2 linked regions of the Xenopus tropicalis genome follow. The protein of the gene in region 2 interacts with the protein of the main gene of each other region in a pairwise test. Links are inferred from orthologs where the notes say so. Each region holds a gene or a part of one and is shown on either strand. Other genes may lie near its edges.

The links.
Region 1: the proteins of gtpbp3 (region 2) and parp11 interact in binary tests that used the Homo sapiens proteins (3 or more experiments, as listed by UniProt). The two-hybrid records come from large-scale screens. The link is inferred for Xenopus tropicalis from reciprocal best matches to the Homo sapiens genes GTPBP3 and PARP11.

Annotation. Positions count from the first base shown.
Region 1 is NC_030679.2:11,768,832-11,773,098, forward strand, and holds the start of parp11 (protein mono-ADP-ribosyltransferase PARP11), read left to right. Parts: upstream 1-1,457; 5' UTR 1,458-1,670; exon of another isoform or gene 1,671-1,739; intron 1,740-4,267. UniProt on the Homo sapiens protein: Mono-ADP-ribosyltransferase that mediates mono-ADP-ribosylation of target proteins. Plays a role in nuclear envelope stability and nuclear remodeling during spermiogenesis. Inhibits the type I interferon activated signaling pathway.
Region 2 is NC_030677.2:113,483,994-113,488,179, forward strand, and holds the start of gtpbp3 (tRNA modification GTPase GTPBP3, mitochondrial), read left to right. Parts: upstream 1-1,376; 5' UTR 1,377-1,535; intron 1,536-3,975; 5' UTR 3,976-4,038; coding exon 4,039-4,094; intron 4,095-4,186. UniProt on the Homo sapiens protein: GTPase component of the GTPBP3-MTO1 complex that catalyzes the 5-taurinomethyluridine (taum(5)U) modification at the 34th wobble position (U34) of mitochondrial tRNAs (mt-tRNAs), which plays a role in mt-tRNA decoding and mitochondrial translation.

The DNA of each region.
Region 1 (4,267 bases), on a different chromosome or scaffold from region 2:
CGTTTAACCCTTTCTGTCCCCCTTGATTCTGGCCATCGTTTAACCCTTTCTGTCCCCCTTGATTCTGGCCATCGTTTAACCCTTTCTGTCCCCCTTGATTCTGGCCACTGTTTAACCCTTTTCTGTCCCCCTTGATTCTGGCCATCGTTTAACCCTTTCTGTCCCCCTTGATTCTGGCCATCGTTTAACCCTTTCTGTCCCCCTTGATTCTGGCCATCGTTTAACCCTTTCTGTCCCCCTTGATTCTGGCCACCGTTTAACCCTTTTCTGTCCCCCTTGATTCTGGCCATCGTTAACCCTTTCTGTCCCCCTTGATTCTGGCCATCGTTTAACCCTTTCTGTCCCCCTTGATTCTGGCCACCGTTTAACCCTTTCTGTCCCCCTTGATTCTGGCCATCGTTTAACCCTTTCTGTCCCCCTTGATTCTGGCCATCGTTTAACCCTTTCTGTCCCCCTTGATTCTGGCCATCGTTTAACCCTTTCTGTCCCCCTCGATTCTGGCCATCGTTTAACCCTTTCTGTCCCCCTTGAGTCTGGCCATCGTTTAACCCTTTCTGTCCCCCTTGATTCTGGCCACTGTTTAACCCTTTCTGTCCCCCTTGATTCTGGCCATCGTTTAACCCTTTCTGTCCCCCTTGATTCTGGCCACCGTTTAACCCTTTCTGTCCCCCTTGATTCTGGCCACCGTTTAACCCTTTCTGTCCCCCTTGATTCTGGCCATCGTTTAACCCTTTTCTGTCCCCCTTGATTCTGGCCATCGCTTAACCCTTTCCGTCCCCCTTGATTCTGGCCATCGTTTAACCCTTTCCGTCCCCCTTGATTCTGGCCATCGTTTAACCCTTTCCGTCCCCCTTGATTCTGGCCACCGTTTAACCCTTTCTGTCCCCCTTGATTCTGGCCACCGTTTAACCCTTTCTGTCCCCCTTGATTCTGGCCACCGTTTAACCCTTTCTGTCCCCCTTGATTCTGGCCATCGTTTAACCCTTTCTGTCCCCCTTGATTCTGGCCATCGTTTAACCCTTTCTGTCCCCCTTGATTCTGACTTGTGAAGCAATGCAGCGGCTTCTGTTGCATTTCAGGGGGTCACAACCAGCAGTGCAGGTAATATTAAGAGCCAGACAGATCAACACTAATTACATTTGCACTTTACATTACAAGCATGGAGCATAGAAAAGCTGCCTTTTCTTTCATTATGAAAAAAAATAAAAAAAACAAGCAGTTTGTGGGGTGGAGTTCCCCTTTAAAACCCCTGTGCCAGCATAAGAGTGAAAAAAGGGGAGCTTTGCAGCTATGGGGGGCACCTCTCCCCCTTCTTCCCCCACCCCACACATTCCAAAGGATGGGCAGCACTTACCCTTGCCTATTGCTGGAGGTACAGGGCAGTGAGTGAGGAGCCAGGGGCAGACAGGCTGCAGACACGCAATCCATTCACACAACTTGTTTACAAACTACTCCGCTTGGTCCAGATTGGCAGAGCATAGAGTTCGGGACCCGCCCACTGACGTGTCTTACTCACTCTAAAACCCCGCCTCTCCTTCGACGTCGCAAGCCCCGCCCCTTCTCTCGTCGGGGGGGAAAGTTTCGCTTCCTCCGCAGTGTTTGGGTCCGCCAGCTGAGTGAGAGGCCGGAAGCTTCGAAGCTGAGCCGGAAGTCAGAGCTTTAAGACTTAGGTACGCGGAGAGGGAAAGGGCCGAGAGTTGCCAAGGCAACCGTCCGTGAAGAAATGATACGTTGTGCCTGTAAGAATGGGGGGAGCATTTGTGTGTGGTATTTTAGAGACGGGATGTTTAATGTAAAGCAGCCCAGCCATTCTGTATGGTAGCACCTGGGCTAGTCTGAGCTCAATTGGGAAACTGGGCAGCAAACTGGGAAATGAGGTCCAATGTGGACAAGTGCAAAGTTATGCATTTTGGTAGAAATAATATAAACGTGAACTATCTACTGAATGGTAGTGTGTTGGGGGTATCCTTAATGGAGAAGGATCTGGGGGTTTTTGTTGATAACAAGTTGTCTAATTCCAGGCAGTGTCATTCTGTGGCTACTAAAGCAAATAAAGTGCTGTCTTGTATAAAAAGGGCATTGACTCAAGGGATGAGAACATAATTTTGCCGCTTTATAGGTCCCTGGTAAGGCCTCACCTTGAGTATGGGGGCAGTTTTGGGCTCCAGTCCTTAAGAAGGATATTAATGAGCTGGAGAGAGTGCAGAGACTGCAACTAAACTGGTAAAGGGGATGGAAGGGTTAAACTATGAGGTTAGACTGTCAGGGTTGGGGTTGTTTTCTCTGGAAAAGAGGCGCTTGCGAGGGGACATGATTACTCTGTACAAGTACATTAGAGGGGATTATAGGCAGATGGGGGGGTTCTTTTTTCCCATAAAAACAATCAGCGCACCAGAGGTCCCCCCTTTAGATTAGAGGAAAGGAGCTTCCATTTGAAGCAGCGTAGGGGGTTCCTCACGGGGAGGGCAGTGAGGTTGGGGAATGCCCTTCCTAGTGATGGGGTAATGGCAGATTCTGTTAGTGCCTATAAGAGGGGCCTGGATGGGTTCTTGAACAAGCATAGTATCCAAGGCTATTGTGATACTAATACCTACAGTTAGTATTAATGTTTGTATATATAGTTATGTATGTGAGGGGATAGATAGGTCAGTATGGGTCTGTATGTGAGTGGATAGATAGGTCAGTGTGGGTCTGTATGTGAGTGGATAGATGGGTCAGTATGGGTCTGTATGTGAGTGGATAGGTCAGTATGTGTCTGTATGTGAGTGGATGGATAGGTCAGTGTGGGTCTGTATGTGAGTGGATAGATAGGTCAGTGTGGGTCTGTATGGGAGGGGATAGATAGGTCAGTGTGGGTCTGTATGTGAGTGGATAGATAGGTCAGTATGGGTCTGTATGTGAGTGGATAGATAGGTCAGTATGGGTCTGTATGGGAGGGGATAGATAGGTCAGTATGTGTCTGTATGTGAGTGGATAGATGGGTCAGTGTGGGTCTGTATGTGAGTGGATAGATGGGTCAGTGTGGGTCTGTATGTGAGTGGATAGATGGGTCAGTATGGGTCTGTATGTGAGTGGATAGATAGGTCAGTATGGGTCTGTATGTGAGTGGATAGATAGGTCAGTATGTGTCTGTATGTGAGTGGATAGGTCAGTGTGGGTCTGTATGTGAGTGGATAGATAGGTCAGTGTGGGTCTGTATGTGAGTGTATAGATAGGTCAGTGTGGGTCTGTATGGGAGGGGATAGATAGGTCAGTGTGGGTCTGTATGGGAGGGGATAGATAGGTCAGTATGGGTCTGTATGTGAGTGGATAGATAGGTCAGTATGGGTCTGTATGTGAGTGGATAGATAGGTCAGTGTGGGTCTGTATGTGAGTGGATAGATAGGTCAGTGTGGGTCTGTATGGAGGGATAGATAGGTCAGTGTGGGTCTGTATGGGAGGGGATAGATAGGTCAGTGTGGGTCTGTATGGGAGGGGATAGATAGGTCAGTGTGGGTCTGTATGGGAGGGGATAGATAGGTCAGTGTGGGTCTGTATGGGAGGGGATAGATAGGTCAGTGTGGGTCTGTATGGGAGGGGATAGATAGGTCAGTGTGGGTCTGTATGGGAGGGGATAGATAGGTCAGTGTGGGTCTGTATGGGAGGGGATAGATAGGTCAGTGTGGGTCTGTATGGGAGGGGATAGATAGGTCAGTGTGGGTCTGTATGGGAGGGGATAGATAGGTCAGTGTGGGTCTGTATGGGAGGGGATAGATAGGTCAGTGTGGGTCTGTATGGGAGGGGATAGATAGGTCAGTGTGGGTCTGTATGGGAGGGGATAGATAGGTCAGTGTGGGTCTGTATGGGAGGGGATAGATAGGTCAGTGTGGGTCTGTATGGGAGGGGATAGATGGGTCAGTGTGGGTCTGTATGTGAGTGGATAGATAGGTCAGTGTGGGTCTGTATGTGAGTGGATAGATAGGTCAGTGTGGGTCTGTATGGGAGGGGATAGATGGGTCAGTGTGGGTCTGTATGTGAGTGGATAGATAGGTCAGTGTGGGTCTGTATGGGAGTGGATAGATAGGTCAGTGTGGGTCTGTATGTGAGTGGATAGATAGGTCAGTATGGGTCTGTATGTGAGTGGATAGATAGGTCAGTGTGGGTCTGTATGGGAGGGGATAGATAGGTCAGTGTGGGTCTGTATGTGAGTGGATGGATAGGTCAGTGTGGGTCTGTATGGGAGTGGATAGATAGGTCAGTATGGGTCTGTATGTGAGTGGATAGATAG
Region 2 (4,186 bases):
TCCCCTGCCGCCTGCACCTTGTTTATAGGGTTGCAACTTTTTCTTAAAAAAAAATGGGCTTCCTATATTTTTATGTTTTTTTCCCTATTAATAGTGGCTGATCAGGTTGTGTAGGGCAGGGGTCCCCAACCACCGGGCCGCGGGCTGTGCTGAACCGGGCCACCTGGTCTCCCATTGAGTCTGTATTATGGTAAGCTGTATTATATTTTATATTGTAATAATATCAATAACAATAAAAATAAAGTGCCTAATATAAAATGTAATAATGACATTTACATTATATATGTAATAATTAAATTATATACTATTAACTAGTTGCCCCCCCCCAGCCTCGGGCCTTGGAAAAATTGTCATGCTTGAAACTGGGCCGTGGTGCAAAAAAGGTTGGGGACCACTGGCGTAGGGCACCAGGCTGGCTTCTGATATTAACATAAAGTTATGAATAAAGAATCTCAGTAACTTACTGGCTTGCTTACTTCATCCCTCCCCCACCCGCTGGTCTGTCTGTCTGTCCGTCTGTCCATCCATTTGGAACAGCACCCCACCACATTTCTAGAGTACCCTAGGGGGCACATTTACTAATCCACGAATCCGAATGGGAAAAATTTGGATTGGAAACGAACATTTTGCAACTTTTTCGTATTTTTTGCGATTTTTTCGTCGCCGGTACGACTTGCTTAAATTGCCGCGACTTTTTTGTAGCCGTTACAATTTGCTCGTATATTGTCGCAACTTTTTCGTATTGAGCGCTCGTAAATGGCGGGCAAACCTTTCAGACTTTGCATGATTTTGGAAGCCTCCCATAGGACTCAATGGCACTCTGCAGCTCCAACCTGGCCCAAGGAAAGTCACGATACTGAAGCTTGAATGAATCCGAAACTTTCGTACTCGGTGCGACGGCTACAAAAAAGTCGCGACAATTCGCGCAAGTCGTAACGCTACGAAAAAGTCGTGACAATTTACGAAAAAGTCGTAACGGCTATGAAAAAGTCGCGACAATTTACGGAAAAATCGCAAAATACCGATCATTACGAGAAAAAACGCATTCGGACGCTTTTCGGACGTTCGTGGATTAGTAAATGTGCCCCTAGGTATATGCCTACCCTGCTTATCCCTAGTTCCAGCCCCAATTCAAATAGGTGATGATTGGGATAGAAAAATCCTACAGAGAGACAGTTGTTTTTATTTCAGTTTTTGACACCCTAGCACCATATGAATAAGGTTGCAGATGCTGTATTCCACTGTAAGTTCATCATTTGAGTTTTTGTATAGTTAACTTTTGTTAAATGACAGCATTCCCTTAGTTAGTATAGAGAAATATCAACCGTGTGGCTTTAAATTCGCAAAGCATCCTGGGATTGTTCCCCATATATGGAGTGTCAGAACACGGAAGAAGCTTTGTTGTAAATCCCATGTTTGTGTATGCAGCATGGCTAAGGGAACTTGCAAACACTGATCGTGGGTAGTAACAGCGTTTGATAGTGTGGCAGGGGTGCCAGATTGAGAAGGGGTTGGGTAGACTGGTGATTTACAAGGTGAGCTATGATTATTATTATGAATGTGTATATGTTCGTGTCATATTTGTATGACAAATACATATTGGAAGAGATGCTCCGCGATGTGTATACCCTTTTCAATGTTTTCCGACTAAGCTGCCTTTGGGGCAATTATCTAACGCTTAAGTTGCCTTCGGGACTCTTTTCTCGTTCTAAAGGTGACTTTGGAGCTGTGCTCCCATAATAAAGGTGCCTTTGGGACACTGCTTTTATTTTTTGCTGGAATGCTAAACGTGACGTACCCTGCACATCAACCAAACATTTTTACTGTTTTACCAGAAAGATGCTCGATTTTCCACAGTAGACCAATGTATCCGATCAAAGTATTTTGTGCAGCCTTTATTATGTGCTGTCACCCTTTTTTTTTTGCAGATCAGTGCAAATGCACAAAGCACACATGTTGAATTGCACACTTATTCTGCTAGATTGGATCACTCTAATGAAGAAACTGAAGATTAACTAATAATAATAAAAAAAAAAAATAAAAAAAACAAGCAGTGCTGGCCTCTTGCAAAATTGAGGCCCTACGCAGTGGTAGCCTTCTGATGCTGTTTAAGGCCATGGCTGGCACTAAGGGGGAGATTTACTAATCCACGAACGGTCCGAAGGCGTCCGAAGGCGGTTTTTCGTAATGATCGGTATTTTTGCGTCTTTTTCGTATGTCCCACGATTTTTTCGTTGCTGTCGCGACTTCTTCGTATATTTTCCGCAACTTTTCGTCGCCGTCGCGAAAAAAAATCGGATTTGTTTTTCCGCCGTTTACTATCGCTCGATACAATAAATTCGCGATGGTGACGAAATAGTTGTGCAAAATACGATAAAGATACGAAAAATCGCGACAGCGACGAAAAAGTCGCAAAAAATTTGTTCCAGTACGATTTTTTCCCTTTCAGGATTCGGATTTGTGGATTAGTAAATCTGCCCCTAAGTGAAGTTAAACTTTTTGATCACATAAAGGAACAAGGCTGCAAACCTAGTGCTGTTGTACAGTGTACAAATCTCATGTCCTCATAACTTGTGAGGATACATACATACTTATTTTTACAATACACAAGTTTAGTGAGTCCTGTGACACTTACCTCACTAAGCACCAGTTATTACCAATGACATCACTAATCACAATTTTTAAGGATGTAATTTATAGGATATTTATTAATACATTTGGGCCCATACAATGGCCTACCCTACCCTTAGGTCTACCCTAAAACAAAGATAACTCCCAGTTATCTCAGTATACCATTGTATATACTAAAAGTTTATATTAAGGTGAACTAACCACTATATAACTAATATATATTAAAAGTTTATATTAAGGTGAACTAACCATTTAGTTTAAAAAAAGATATGGACAACAACAGCAAACACTTTTACTAAACAAAGTCATTATGGAGTATCATGAGAAAAGTAGTGGACTAATCTTAAGGTAAATATTACTTACCGGTATTGTTACATCTGTCTATATATACAGGTTGCTTGACACTGATGCTACATGTATGCAGGATAGGGGCCCTAACTGGCACTAGTCATTTAGCAATTAACTAGGTCTTCAGTCCATAGGTGCTCCATATATCTCTTATTTAGTGATTTCTGAAGCTAATGCCTGAGAGTCAATGGCACTTAGGGGTGGAGAAGAGTGGAACACAAAGCAATTGTGTACAAACTGCTTCTTGTCTGCATGTGTGTGAGACCAGGCACCCTTAATAGGTGAATTGGTGGCATGAGTATATATATATATATATAGATATAGATATATAAAAAATACAGGATGAAGAGCACACCAAACTTTTAAATGCGATACCTGGGTGCCAGAGCAGCAAGCACAGAATAAAAATAAAGAATGTCGGCACTCACAGGATTTCCACGATAAAACTCACAGGTAATAAGTCATGTTTTAGGATGCAATCAGGTGTGATTTATTGGTCCAACGTTTCAGTTCCCTTCCCTGACGAAAGTTCCAGTAGGGAACTGAAACGTTGGACCAATAAACCACACCTGATTGCATCCTAAAACATGACTTATTGCCTGTGAGTTTTATCGTGGAAATCCTGTGAGTGCCGACATTCTTTATTTATTTATAATATATATATATATATATATATATATATATATATATATATATATATATATATCAGTCCTGATGGTGTCTGCACTCCAAGGCTTTTAGTATTCTGTGGGGTGCACAGCCAAAATCTGAGTATTTAGCATGAAATAATACATGGCCGGCACACCCTTAAAATTCAAAAAAATTTTTTATTGAAAACTCATTGTTTAAAAACCAACGTTTCGGTCCTCATTAGGACCTTTATCAAGGATAAAAAGGAAAAAAAATATTTCATGCTATATATATATATATATATATATATATATATGCTTCATAACATCCATACTGAATAGTAATGATTTCTATTTGTTTTTTCAGACTATGATGTTAATAAGCGAAGGCGGTGAAACTAATAATAAGGAAAGTCTTTTGTAGGCTGAAATGGTATTTGCCAGGACATGTCTGACTTCTGTTTCTTTGAGGTCAGTAAAAAACAGGTAATTATATATTTCTGTTATAGGTTCAGCTTGGCTTCAGGTGGTCTTTACACAGCCCCATATATTCTCTGTTTGCCAGAAAGTTTTTAATC